2 linked regions of the Elephas maximus indicus genome follow. The protein of the gene in region 1 interacts with the protein of each later gene in a pairwise test. Links are inferred from orthologs where the notes say so. Each region holds a gene or a part of one and is shown in the gene's direction. Other genes may lie near its edges.

Evidence for each region.
Region 2: the proteins of COPG1 (region 1) and COPZ2 interact in a two-hybrid assay, tested with the Homo sapiens proteins (2 studies listed by BioGRID). The link is inferred for Elephas maximus indicus from reciprocal best matches to the Homo sapiens genes COPG1 and COPZ2.

The regions. Positions count from the first base shown.
Region 1 is NC_064838.1:41,579,519-41,587,127, forward strand, and holds the start of COPG1 (coatomer subunit gamma-1), read left to right. Parts: upstream 1-4,545; 5' UTR 4,546-4,659; coding exon 4,660-4,696; intron 4,697-5,626; coding exon 5,627-5,679; intron 5,680-6,103; coding exon 6,104-6,184; intron 6,185-6,435; coding exon 6,436-6,507; intron 6,508-6,692; coding exon 6,693-6,772; intron 6,773-7,609. UniProt on the Homo sapiens protein: The coatomer is a cytosolic protein complex that binds to dilysine motifs and reversibly associates with Golgi non-clathrin-coated vesicles, which further mediate biosynthetic protein transport from the ER, via the Golgi up to the trans Golgi network.
Region 2 is NC_064837.1:45,456,931-45,464,030, forward strand, and holds the start of COPZ2 (coatomer subunit zeta-2), read left to right. Parts: upstream 1-3,998; 5' UTR 3,999-4,021; coding exon 4,022-4,132; intron 4,133-4,872; coding exon 4,873-4,947; intron 4,948-6,724; coding exon 6,725-6,806; intron 6,807-7,100. UniProt on the Homo sapiens protein: The coatomer is a cytosolic protein complex that binds to dilysine motifs and reversibly associates with Golgi non-clathrin-coated vesicles, which further mediate biosynthetic protein transport from the ER, via the Golgi up to the trans Golgi network.

The DNA.
Region 1 (7,609 bases):
TTTCCACAACAGCCGTACCATTTTGCATTCCCAGCAGCAACGCATAAGCGTTCGAATTTCCCCACATCCTCGCCAACATTTATTATTTTCTGATGGCTAATGACATTTTTTTTTTTTTTAATGACATAGATCATCTACTCATGCGCTTGGTGGCCATTTGAATTTCCTTTTTGGTGAAATGTCTATTCAAGTCCTTTGCCCATTCTATGATTGGGCTGTCTTTTGGTTGTTAAATTGTCGAAGCTTTATATATTTTTTGGCTATTAGATTCTTATTGGATATATAGTTTCTGAAGATATTCTCCCAGTCAGTAGCTGGTCTTTTCACTTTTTTGGTAAAGTCTTTTGATGAAAAGAAGTTTTTAATTTTTAGTGGTCCCCTTTATTTTGTCTTTTGCTGTCTGTGCTTTGTTATTTTATTATATTGCCCCTGCATTTTCTTCTAAGAATTTTGCAGTTCTGGTTTGCACATTTAGGTCCTTAACCCATTTTGAATTTGTTTTTGTATATTTTGTATATGGTGTGAGGCATAGATCCTGTTTCATTTTACTGCATGTGCTAATCCAATTTTCCAAACACCATTTATGGAAGAGATTCTTCTTTCCCCACTGAATGAACTTAAAACTGTTGTCAAAATCAGTTGAGCATAGACGTGTGGGTTTGTTTCTAGACTTTCAATTCTATTCCATTGGTCTGTGTGCCTATTTTTATACTAGTACCAGGCTGTTTTGATTAATGTCGCTGTATAATATGTTTTAAAATTGAGAAGTGTGAGTTCTCCTACTTTGTTCTTCTCTTTCAACATTGCTTTAGCTTTTTGGGGCTTCTTGACATTTTATATAAAGTTGAGAATTTGTTTTTCCATTTCCATAGAGAAAGCTGTTGGAATTTTTATTGTGATCAAGTCGAATCCATAGACTGCGTTGGGTAGTACTGACATCTTAACTAATGTTCCCATCCATGAACATGGAACATCTTTCCATTAATTTAAGTCTTCTTTAATCTCTTTCAGCAGCGTTTTATAGTTCTCATTGTATAAATTTTTCACATCCCTGGTTCCTAGGTATGTTATTCTCTTGGATGCTGTGGTAAATGGAATCATTTTCCTGACTTCCCCTTCAGATTTCTCATTGTTGATGCATAGAACCCCAACTGATTTTTGTTAGTCGACTTTATACTCTGAACTACCGTACGACCCAGCAATTCCACTTTGCTAAATCCTTTTTTTTTAATTGCTGTAAACGTATATATGACACATTTGCCAATTCAATATTTTTCACATGTACAATTCAGTGATATGAATTATATTAATCATGTTGTACAACTATAGCCAACGTGGCATTTCTTTTTGGGGTAATAAAAATGTTTTGGAATTAGATGGAGATGATGGTGGCACTTTTTTTTTTTTTTTACTATACTAAAAGCCACTGAGTTGTACACTTTAGAGGGTTGAATTTTATGATATATGAATTGTATTTAAAAAAAAAAACTCAAAACTATAGAATAATGTCATGGATTGAACTGTGTCCCCCAAAAATGTGTCAACTTGGGTAGGCCATGATTCCCAATATTGCATGATTGTCCACCATTTTGTCATCTGATGTGATTTTCCTACATGTTGTAAATCCTATCTCTATGACGTTAATGAAGCAGGATTAGAGGCAGTTATGTTAATAAGGCAGTACTCAATTTACAGGAAGAGGTTGTTTCTTAAATCAATCTCTTTTGAGATATAAAAGGGAGAAGTAAGCAGAGAGACAGGGGACCTCATACCACTAAGACAGCAGCACCAGAAGCAGTGCACATTCTTTGGACCCAGGATCCCTGCGCTGAGAATCTCCTTGACTAGGGGAAGATTGATGACAAGGACCTTCCCCCAGGACCAACAGAGAAAGAAAGACTTCCCCTTAGGCTGGCACCCTGAATTCAGACTTCTAGCCTCCTAAACTGTAAGAGAATAAATTTCTCTTTGTTAAAGCCATCCACTTGCAGTGTTTCTGTTATTGCAGCACTAGATAACTAAAAACAAATAATATCATAACCAGGATACTGACATTGATACAACTCACCAATCTTACTCAGATTTCCCCAGTATTACTTCTACTTTCAATTCTAATACTCTATGTTTCCGCAAAGGACTTAGCAATTACCTTGAACAACATATATATATTTTATTTAAAAATAATAATTATATCAAATATAAGCTCACACATAGAGCTGGAGCCACAACCCACAATTCTCATTATCAAAAGAGTATTGTAAAAATTGTCCTTTGTATAAAGTTTTATAGAATTAATATCATAACATAAAAGCCTATTTTGTCCCAACACAATTCATCTGTATTTCACCATCTTAACAATTCAATTCTCTAGGGTTCTTTCTGGTTTCTAACCATGAAGGATTTTTATTTCACCTTAATTATGAACACTTTTACACTCTATCCTTTTTTGATACCTTGATTATTATGAGAAGTTTGCATGTGGTCTCCCAAGTTGCAAGAAACATCCCTTTGAGAGGATGTACCACAATGTTCTTTGTTGTTGTTGTTGTTAGGTGCCATCAAGTCGGTTTCAACTCATAGTGACCCTATGCACAACAGAACGAAACACTGCCTGGTCCTGCGCCATCCTTACAATCATTGTTATGCTTGAGCTCATTGCTGCAGCCACTGTGTCAATCCACCTCGTTGAGGGTCTTCCTCTTTTCCACTGAACCTGTACTCTGCCAAGCATGATGTCCTTCTCCAGGGACTGATCCCTCCTGACAACATGTCCAAAGTATGTAAGACACAGTCTCGCCATCCTTGCTTCTAAGGAGCATTCTGGCCGCACTTCTTCCAAGACAGATTTGTTCTTTCCTTTGGCAGTCCATGGTATATTCAATATTCTTCGCTAACACCACAATTCAAAGGCGTTCAACTCTTCTTTGGTCTTCCTTATTCATTGCCCAGCTTTCACATGCATATGATGTGATTGAAAATACTATGGCTTGGGTCCAGTGCACCTTAGTCTCCAGGGTGACATCTTTGCTCTTCAACACTTTGAAGAGGTCCTTTGCAGCAGATTTACCCAATGTTCTTTACCATCCCCTTATTGGTGGGCATTTAGGGTGTTTCTAATTATCTTGCTACAGATTGCTGCAGTGGGAAACTTTGTTTTCTTCTTTTGGATGGCTTCCTCAGGATAATGATTGGAGCTACTACTGGTTAAAGGTTTTTAATGTCTTTCTGGGTCTTGACAATTTCACTCTGGCTCACGACTGGCTCGTCCTCTCCCCAGCTCCCTCTTTCCCACAGGCTTAACCTCTGAACTGCCTAAGCTAAAAGACTGGCCCCTTCCCGGACACCCCTACCCCAGCCGTGCTGTCACCTCCACCTTCACTTGCAGGTCTCTGCCCCTGCACCCTGCCGCTCCTTCCAACCCCCGACTCACCAGCAGGGCTCCTTCACCTCCCTGCCAGACTGCGGGCTTCCCTCTCCCCAGGCCAGGTGATGACCTGCGTCCCAGCGCTTAACCATCCAGACTCGGTTTTGCCGCAGCGAATGCAATTGGCATGTTGGGACGCACCGTCCTTACCTTAGCCACACAGTGTCCGGTGTAGGTCCCCTATCAGGAAGATAAACCCCCCCCAAAGATAAACCCTAGTGATGTCTTTTTCCCTTCCTCTCCCGCCCCCAGCGCCAGGCGGCGCATTTAGTAAGTATTAAATAAAAGAGCAACATTGAAATTCCACACTGACCTTTTAGTTCCTTGTAAGTTAATAAAATAAAAAACAATTTGCACCAGGAGCAGATAAGATGAGAGTGGGCACATATGAATTATAACAGCAATTAAATGCATTAACTCGTTCTACAAGAATTTATTGTTCACATACTATTGCCAACATCATCCTCCGCAGTGAATAAGACAAGGAAAACAATAAAAACATTGTGTGCTAGATGGTGATTCGAGTCAAGGAGAAAATCAAGCAGGAAAGGGAGACGGAAAGTAAGGAGTGGTTAGCGAAGCTTACCGAAAAGGTGACAGTTATAATATTAATCCATAAAACTCATTGCCGTTGAGTCGATTCCGACTCACTGCGAGTCTATACAGTAGAATTGCCCCGCTGACTTTTCAAGGCTGAAATCTTTGCGGAACCGGACTGTCCCATCTTTCTCCCACAGCGGCTCGCGGGTTCAAAACCCCAAGCTTTCGGTTAACAGCCCAGAGTTTAACCACTGCTCCACCAGGGCTCCTTAATAACAGGTTACTTTAATTGGGTGGGACGGCAGGCGAGCGTGCTACGGACCTCACAGCCGAAAGCCTGTTTTAAACTCACTTCACACGCAATGAGGCAGGGGCTGCTACAACTCCCAGTGTACACAGCAGGAGGGCGTAAGGCGCCGAGCTAGGTCGCCAGCCGTCCCGAGCGTGAGAGGCTTCAGCCCCCCAGGTCTGCGGCCCTCTGACCTCTTCGGCAAGTACAGGGTTAACGCAAAAAAAAGGGACAGCGGCGGCTCAGGCGTGCGCATGCGCAGAGTGCGGAATGCGCCTGCGCAGAGCCTCGAGCGACGTGGCCTGGTCGGAGCCCGGAAGTGGCCGAAGTGGAACCTCCGCCGGGCAGCTACTCCGAACCGCACCTGCCGAGCCCAGTGCTGCATCGCGCCCTCGCCGGCCCTGCCATGCTGAAGAAATTCGACAAGAAGGACGAGGAGTCGGGTGAGGGGACCCAGCAGGCCTGGGCCTGGGGGAGGCCGAACCCCCGCGCAAGCTTTCGGGACTCTGCGCTGACTGGGAGGCCGAGGCTCGGGGAGGGGCCGGGGCTTGTGCGAAGATCCGCAGCTGGTCAGTGGCAGGCCTCGGAAAGCCAGAGCATCCTCCGCGGCCCGCCACTCGTAAGCTCGGACTGTGACCCGCCAGGTGACCTTGGGCGAATCACACTCCTCCCTGGGCCTCAGTTTCCCCATCTGCCAGAGGAAAGGCTGGGCCGAATGCTCCTCTTTCTTCGCCTGGCCTTTCGGGATTCGCCGGGACCGCGCTGGTTCTGTCCAAGCTGGAGTGTAATCTGTGGAGCCTCTGTCTTGTGGCTGAGAACCCTGACTCATTCATTCATTCATTCAGCAGACACGTATTGAGTACTTTATGTCAGGCTTTGTGCTGTGTCCTGATACAGCAGTAGAACAAAGCAGACACTCGGTTCTTGAGCTGGAAATGTTACAATGGAATGAACAAGATGGTCACAAGCGTAGTGGAGGAGACAGACATCAACCAGAGAGTCACAAACGTGATTATTACAAATGTGACCTCTGTTATGAAGGAAACTTAGTCAGGAGGAAATCGTGGTCCCTGGTCCATAGTAGGGACTCAGTAAAGTAAGGGTTGTATGAATGAATACAAGCCATGCCACCATGAGAAACAGAAGGAGGAGCGTACCAGGGCTGCTGGGTGACTGTAAGTGGTTTGGGTTAGGTTGGAGGCCCCTTGCAGGAGAGTGGTAGGATCTATAGGCAGACTGTAGAGCCTTGATTGCCGTTCCTGAGGAGTTTGAACTTTGTTGGGTAGACAATAGGGACATCTTTCCCTTCTCTGTGTTTGATAGCTTTGAAATTCAGGATGGTACTCAGTGTTTTCTATTCTCTTTAACTGTAGGTGGAGGCTCCAACCCATTCCAACACCTTGAGAAGAGTGCAGTACTCCAGGAGGCAAGTGTCATTTGTTCCACTCTGTCTTCCATCATAAATGTTCATGGTGGATATGATGGAAAAAGCAACACATTCAGTCCTGATTAGAGAAGTGTAGGAGAGAAAACCTGTGCCTGGAAAGACAGAGAAACTTTTCTTCTTGGAGAGATGATGCCTACATTTTTGTTGTTAGTCATTTCACCTTCCATTTAATAAGCATTTCCTAAGTATTTGTTGGTTATAGGTCCACACATCACTAATATTTAAAAAAAGGTTGTTAATAGATGAGTTAAGAAAAATAAAACTTCTTATGGAAATAAGCCTGTTTAGGCAAGTGTATTTATTTACCCTGGGACTTCTCAGAACCTTGAATGTGCTTGAAGGTAGTCAGTGGAAAGGAAACAAACAGGGCTAGAAGGTAATAGCCTTTGTTGCTTTTTCTTAGGCCCGTGTATTTAACGAAACTCCCATCAACCCTCGGAAATGTGCCCACATCCTCACCAAGATTCTCTATCTCATAAACCAGGTAATAGGGTGAGGTTTGAGGGTGGGGAAACTGGTGTTGAGGAGAGTACACAAGTTATCATCACTTTAAGTGATTTGACAGCCTTCGTGTGGTTGCAGCCACTGGCTCAGTTCTGGGTCGCCTGAGCACCCAGTGTGTTAGCCTTTAATGGAATTTTTGCAGGGTCCGAGGATCTGGCCTGGGCTGATCCAACAGGAAGAGCCATCTGTCCCCTCTGTCCCAGGCTGAGGCTTCTTTCTTGATTACCACAGGGGGAGCATCTGGGGACCACCGAAGCAACCGAGGCCTTCTTTGCCATGACCAAGCTCTTTCAGTCCAATGATGTAAGTACTCCGACCCCAGCTTTCCTTAAGGGGCCAGTTTGTGACATAGTCGTAGGAGACCCCCAGAAAACTGGCCCCACCAGTCAGCATGGGATGCCTTTGTGCAGACTGGAGTTTTCTTTTCCTAACTCTGGCCCTCATACTAAGCCAGAAGTGATATACGGCTTTTTCCATCTCTTTTGCAGCCCACACTCCGTCGGATGTGCTACCTGACTATCAAGGAAATGTCTTGCATAGCAGAGGATGTCATCATTGTCACCAGCAGGCAAGTCTTTGGGGGCAGTGGATGGCTTCCCTGATGGATTCATTGACACAGAGGCCATTTTTTCTCTTGTGTGTACCATGCTTTTGATGCGTATTAGACTTTTGTTTGGCATAGCTGCCTGGTGCCCTTTCCTCTTCTGTCTCCTTCATCCTTCAGGTACTGCTGCCAACCCTCAGGGAGTACTGTGCCCTTTTAATTCTCCAGCCTTAACTTGGGTACAACCCCTTCCTTCCCTTAGTTCCTCATGGTCAACTGAACCAGCCTGGAACTTTCACAAAGACATTAACGGATGCTAAAAGAGAACACTAGGAAAATAGATGTAGAGAATGCAAGTGGTATACAAACAGGCTTGCTTACTAAGTACTGAATTCTGCATTAGGCTGAGTGATTCAGGGGACAGATGTGACTAAAGTGTACCTTGCCTGTAAAAACTGGGACGTAGTCCTCTTCTTCTTGCCCCAGCTTTTTTTTGGGGTGGGGGGGCAGGGGGTGGGGTATACATTCATTTATATGTTCATGTAGAAAATATTTATTGCATGCCTGCCAATCCCTGAGTGTATCTCTGGGGATATAGCAGTCTCTGCACCTCCAGAACTGGCAGAGAAACCCCCAGGCACTCAGGCATTGAGGTCGGGTGTCCTCGCTTAATCATGGGAAGTGTGACCAGGGGGCCCCCAACTTGAGTTTGAATCAGGAAAGCCTTCTCAGAAGAACTGTCCAAGCAGAGTCCTAAGGGATGAGTAAGAACTAGCAGGATGAAGTGGAGGTGAGGGGTGAAGGATGCTCCAGGCTGAGGAAACAGCACCTGTAAGAGCCTGGAGGGAGAGCAGGGTCTAT
Region 2 (7,100 bases), on another chromosome or scaffold:
TTAGTGGCCTGTGTCCCAAACAACGTTGGGTGATTTTCTTCGTATACTTCTCAGTGTGGCATGTCACACTCAGGGAGGTGCTATTGTGAGGTAAAAAGAGTGGGGGCTATCAACTCAGAGCTGGGTTCAAACACCTGGCCCTGCCACTTTCTAGTTGGGCTATTCTGGGCTCAGGAGAGTGAATAATACACGTATTCACAAAGGTTTAAAATCAGATCATATGTATAAAGCCACTTGCACTTGGGTAGGGCTGTGTCAGGCCCCTTTCTCTCCCAACTCTCTGTTCACCTACCCCACCACCTCGTCCCAGAGAAAGCCAAATGTGTTGAAGAAATAAGAGCCGTCCTTAGGATGTTCTGCTGGAAGCCCATGCTGCAGACAGGCATGGGAGCTTTCATTCTCTCCCTGAAGGACGCCATAAGCACACACATTTCTGCCTCATATTCCACATATACACCTCCCCCTCTTGACATTATAGCAGGAAGGATGGAGAGAGGCTGTTACCCAAGGGAGCTGTTTCTTCTTGTCACACAAGAGCAGATGCTGAAATCCTAGGACAGACAGCACAGAAATGCGGCTGCAGGAGGGTGAGTCAGAGGCAACAGCTGGTCTCACCTCTAAGATCTACCAAGGCCTGAAGCCGAACCCCATTCAAATCGCTCACTTCCTGGAGACTCCAAAGGGCAGGGATGTGTGTATTTTTAGGACCAAAAGGGAGTCCAGCTATTCCACAAGCTCCCTTCCCCACCCCACCGCACCCTGAAGGGAGCACAGAGAGCAGGGAAACAAGGCTGCATTCCTTTCGGACCCACCTCATCCTCATTCCCGTTAGGCTGTCCAGTGGATTCTCTTCTGCTGTGCTGTACACTTCTCAAGTCCTCTGGGGCCATACTGTGTGGAAAATACTGTCCTGACCCAGTGCACACTTAGTGTCTACATAGAACACCATTCAAGGTGCACCTCACGCTGGTGGCGGCGGGGCGGGGGGGTGGGTGCGAGGAAAGAGGAAAGAGTGGGGCCCTGAGGTTTCTTTGGGGAGAGTCTGGGGAAGGGCCATCATTGGGAAAATCTCTTCTTTGCAAAGCTGAAGCTGAGGGCACTTAGGATGTGAAGAGTTCTGGTGATGATAACACCAGCAGCAACAGTCGTGGAGGGAGTGGTGAGGAGGATGTTGTCGTTCATAAGCTTCTTTCTTGGGCCTCCTCTCATCCACTCTGTGACTCACCCACCTCTCCCCATGGAGCCACACCAGCTCCCTAAGTTCCCCTACCTTCCCGCTTCTCCTTCCCCTCTTCTGCAGGCTGACCCTCTTCTGTAGTGGATACCAGATGCCAAACAGAGGTTGGGAAATGCCCCTGGAGGCTTTCTGGTGCTGTCCTTGTAAATACAAACTAAAAACTGACTAGCTCACAGAAATATTAAGGTGTCAAAATAATCAAGGCAGTATTTTTTTTATAACTTACCCAGTTGACAGGACCATTGACAGTAACTTCTGATGATCTAGAATCCAAACAAATAAAAAGCCCAAATATTGGGACTTTTTTTCCCTTATTGTAACAAATAGTGTTGATTAATGTTCACTGTTATAACTTGGATAGCCTGTAAGGAGGACTGGAATGTGCCTTGTAAATCATCATAGAAAGAGGTTCAGTGGATGTTTTCTCAGATGTCCACATGGCTCTCTCCCACTCTACCTTCAGATCTTTGTTCAGACACACACACACACACTTGAATAAACACTTCAACATAAGCAAAGATGCTTATTTTGTTTACTGTTGTATCCCAGTGACTAGAAAAGTACCTGGTACAGGATAAGCACTCAATAGATATTTGTTCAACATATGAAGTATGGTTTCATTGACAAGTACGTTTAAATTTTTTTATTGTAGTAAAATATATATAACATAAAATTTTCCCTTTTAACGTTAAGTATGCAATTCAATGCCATTAATTGCATTCACAATGTTGTACAGCCATTACCACTATTTCCAAAGTAAGTACATTTTTATTGTTTGTTTAAAATATTTATACATTATCTTCTTCGTTGTGAAGTCACTTATTTAATCATTTACTCAGCAAATACCAGTTTAGTCCTTGTCATGTGCCAGGCCCTGTGCAAGGCACCAGGGATCTGATAGGGAACAAGACAGACGCATTGTCCCCCATTCTTGTGGGGCTCAAAGCCCAATGGGGAGAAGGACTATACACATTTGTATAAGCAAATTAGTAAAAATGACATTTAGAGATTGAGAAAAGTATGATGAAAGAAGTAGAATACTGAGATGGAGAATGTGACAGGAGAGACCTATTATCCTATCATGTTAGATATGGTCAGAGAGGACCTTTGAGTGATGACATTTAAGAGACTTGAAGATTAATAAGGCTTGTTGCTACTCAGAAGAGGAAAATCCTGTTACCCAGTCATCTTTGATGAGTGAGTGTGGTACACAACATAAGAGGCCCTGAAGAGAAGAACAGAGAAGAAACTGAGTCCAAAGCCTGGGTTCCATCCCCACTCAACTATTAGTTATACCATCTTGAAAAGGAGCCCTGGTGGCACAAACGGGTAAGGGCTCAGCTGCTAACCAAAAGGTTGATGGTTGGAGCCTACCCAGATGCTCTGGGGGAGAAAGACCTGGTGATCTGCTTCCGTAAGGATTACAGACAAGAAAACCCTATGGGGCAGTTCCAGTTTGTCACATGGGTCACTATGAGTAGGAATCAACTCGAGGGCACCCAAACATCTTGAAAATGTCCCCTTCCTTATCTCTAAAGTGGGAGCAATACCTACCTAATACCTCACAGGAGCTCTGGTGGCACAGTGGGTAAGAACTACGGCTGCTAAACCCAAAGGTGGGTAGTTCCAAAACACCAGCTGCTCCTTGGAAATACTATGGGGCTGTCCTACTCTGTCCTATGGGGGGGCTGTGAGTCAAAATCAACTCGACAGCAATGGGATGGGTTAATATCTCACAGGTGTAAGTGATGTTAGATAATGTATGTGAAAATGTTTAAATAGGGCTTCTAACCTGTACTCTAGTTCAAACCCTTGCTGAGAATTTGCATTTCTAACAATTTCCCAGGATGTTATACGTAAGAATCACCTGTAGATCTTGTTAAACTTTAGGTTCTGATTCAGTATATCTGGGGCGGTAATGCAAATTCTCACCAGGGAAATTCTTAGAAATGCAAATTCTCAGCAGGGGTTCAAACCAATGGAACCAGTTTGTAGCCCTGGTTTAAATGTAAAATACTCACCTGATGTTAAGGGTAAATGCATGAGGAAGTGTGAATTTCCCACTGGCTGGGGTATCCTGGGGTGGAATCTCGTCCACCAAAGAAACCAAAACCGGTGGCAAAGCCTGATGTCATTAGTGGAGTATTTATGCTACTAGGCATCTGTCTTGGTTCACTTTGGGCCATGTCTTGGGAGGCGTCTCAGGAAGTGTCCCAGGGGCCATGGCTCCCTTCCCCAAGTGCTGTGAAAGCCTCTTCTGCACAGAGGACTGCTCAGAGGTGTCCTTGTCTGCTCTCACTGAAGTACCTGCCCCTAATATCCAAAGAATGCCCTGACAGATTTGTCCGATGGTACCCTAAGAGGAGTCAAGAGACAAAACTGGGGATTGCCTGTGTCTTCTGCTGACCCCAGGACAGCCTGCGGACGCCCGCGTACACCACACCCACAGGCGGCGGAGAGGAGGCAGGAGACGGGAAGAAGGGCCGGTCCTGGGGCAAAGAGGATATGAGAGCTCTGGGCTTTAAGGACTGGAAAGGAGGCGAGGAGGGGAGAGGGGAATGAGAAGTGAAGGAAGGAGCTGGGGGTGTGGGGCGCGTGGCGGAGAGGGCTGGCGGGGGCGGTAGGAAGACTAGAAGAGGGCAAGGGCCGTGGGGGAAAGAAAAGACAAGAACTGGAGATGGGAAGACGGGGGCCGCGAGGCCTGCGCTGCCGGCTGGAAGTGGGCGGTGGCCTCCGGGGGCGGCGCAGGGCGGGCGGCGCTGTCAGCGCGAGGCGGCGAGCGGAATGCAGCGGCCCGAGGCCTGGCCACGTCCGCACCCGGGGGAGGGGGCCGCGGCGGCCCAGGCAGGGGTCCCGGCAACGCCCACTCGAGCCGGGGAGCCCGCGGGGCCTCGGGTACGGAGCGGGAGGACGGGCGGGGGCCCGGGGGCCCGGGGTCCCCTGGCGGTGGAGAGGGGTGCGGGGGGTGAGGGATAGCCAACCCACAACTCGCGCGGCGGCGGCTGGGAACTTTGTGCCACCCCTGACCAGCCCCAGGGAGAGGGCCCGGGCTCAGAGCAGGGGACAAAAAGTTCCTCCGGGTGCAGACTCCTGAGTCGGCTGAAGTTCTGGATCAATTTGGGACAGTGATAGGGAGGGTAGACGCGGGGTGGATTGAGATTCCGCTCGGAGGGGTAAGGGTGGTGTGTTCGTAGGCTGCCGTGCGTGCTTCTGGGGCCCACCCCGGCCAGGGTGCTGGGGGCGCGCTGAGAGCATGGGTCCAGCCTCGGCCGGGGGTCAGCTGGAAGGAGGAGGCTCACGCCGCTGTCCCCCCGGCCCAGGTTCTGTGATACACTCTGACTCGGGCTCTGGAGCAGTCAGTGCATGACAGAACTTGGGCCCGAGGGACCTTCTGCACTCGACAGTGCCCACCCAGGGCCTGCAGCGGAACATCTGCCTGGAAGTAGAGAAGGCAACGGAGTTGGCCCGGGTGGCAGTGGGGCTGGGCCTGACCCACTGTGGACTTTTGGAGCAGGGGTCGCTGAAGCCTGAAGGCTTACCCCTGGAGCTAACAGATCCCAGAGAGGCAATGGCAGGGCGTCCACCTTGAGAGCTGTTGCTTCAAGGGCCAAAGGAGCTCTCCTCCCCTGTGTCAGTTGCAGGAACCTTCCCTCTACACCATCAAGGCTGTTTTCATCCTGGATAATGATGGGCGCCGGCTGCTGGCCAAGGTAACCCCCCACCCTAATCCACATAGTGGACACTAGAGGGGCCTGAAGCCACACAATGGTGCAGCCCCAGGAGCAGAGGTCCCCACCCAGCTGACTCTCCCCTCTCAGAAGAGACTCACTGTGGTCTGTAATGTGGAACAACTCAGCTTAGATCTCTCCAGAGGTCATCCTGGCCATCCCTCTGCCTGTCAGGCTGTTGGCCCTGAAGCAGGACAGAGGGTCTCCTCTTTTTCTACTCTTGTTCCTTGAAATGTCTTTTTGTTATCCCTCTCACTGGCCAGCTGGACCCTGGGTGTGGGAAGGGACCCCCTAAGGGGTCAATGGAGTAGAGCCTGGGACCCAGAAGTCCTGGTCCCCAAATTCTGAAGAAGCCACTTCTACTTTTCTCCTACAGCTTCATAAACACAGTTGCAGGAGCCTAAGAATTTAGAACTAGATTTTAGAGACCTTATAATCCAACGCTCTAATTTCACAGGTGAAAAAAATAAGGCCTAGGGAAGCTGAATGAGTTGCCTGAGGTCACAAGCTGTAAATATCAGGAGACATGAACTCAAGTTTTTTAACTTGTAGCTCAGGGTGGTTTTCACTACACCGCCATTCAATGATCTAATATCCATCATAGTGAACATGGCCTGAGTTAACCAAACTAGGAAAATCCAAAAATAAATTTCCATAGTTGACAAAATGAGCTGTATCAGCAGGGCTATAGCATCTAAACTAGCTATGAAATGAAGTATAGATTTTTGTCCTTTTTTTTGTTTGGGGCTGAAGATGTCTTCCAAATTCTTTTTTTTTGTTCTCACAACATCCTAAAGAGCTTGTTCCCCCACAGCAGGGGCCACCAGGGAGATCGCTAATTTGCCAACAGATCAGGTACTAAAAGGTAACATCCACACTCACAAAATTGAGAGGTGATCACACCTCACCCCAGCAGATGGTCTGAGGTGGATCAGGGGCAAAGCCTCTCCTCGCAGGGCTCATCCATTTTACAACTTGAGAAACTGAGTCAGAGAGAGGCTCACTAAACTCAAGAGAAAAAAGAATGACTTAAATTCTGCAATATGTGCTGGGAACTTGTCTCTAGCTATTTGATACTCACCATAATCCTGTCTGGAGTCAGACTCTCCTTGGTGTTGAATCCCAGCTCTGCCCCGTTCAGGCTGTGAGATGTTAAGGAAGCTACCTGGCTTCTTCATACCCTACTTTACCTCAGCTATTTAATGGGGTGGTAAGTTTTCTGTAATTGGTAGCCGTTGTTATGGTTACTGCTGTAAGGACTCCTGGCACTGCCATCTTTCCCGTAAGCTCAGGTCAGTGTAGAAATAGAGTGGCTGGTGACGACCCTGATCCTGAACACACGGTGCATCCACCGAGGGTACGAGAACCTCTAGGAAACCAAGAGGGAACTCCAAAATCAGACCTCAAATCTCCTCTACATTTTATGACATTCTTTGCTTAGAATTTGTGTTTATGGGGAAATAACTCACCAGCTGCTTCACGAGGAAAAGATGTGACAGTCTGCTTCCATAAAGATAACAGTCTCGGAAACCCTATGGGGCAGTTCTACCCTGTCATATAGTGTCTCTGTAAGTCGGAATTGACTGGATGGCAATGGGTTTGGTTTAGTGAGCAGGCAGGCCTGGAGGGCAATAAAGGGGAGGCAGGCCATCATGGCGGGGTCTCCCTTGGCCAGCACCCACCATCTCCTGCCACACAGCCTGGGAGGAGCCAGGCTCTGTGGGACAGGTATCACCCCTTCTCCTTCCCCTTCTCATAGTATTATGACGACACATTCCCCTCCACGAAGGAGCAGATGGTCTTTGAGAAAAATGTCTTCAACAAGACCAGCCGGACCGACAGTAAGTGTCTGCCTTTTCCTCCACCAGAACTCTCAGTTGCACACCGTGATCTTCTCCATCTGGACACATCTGTCCCTGCCGGCCTTTATATACCCACGGGCCATTCCCTTTTCTTCAGAGGCTCTCCTCTCCTTCCCAGCTGTTCTCCACTGTCTTCCTCCAGGGACCTTCATTCCGTATTGCTTTGCATTCCGCCCCTCTTCGGACTCCTCCCCACCACCACTACTAGACCTCTCTCTCAGCCAAAGAGGCCAACTGTGTTGTGGGTCCCCCCCGACACACACTCTGCCTGAA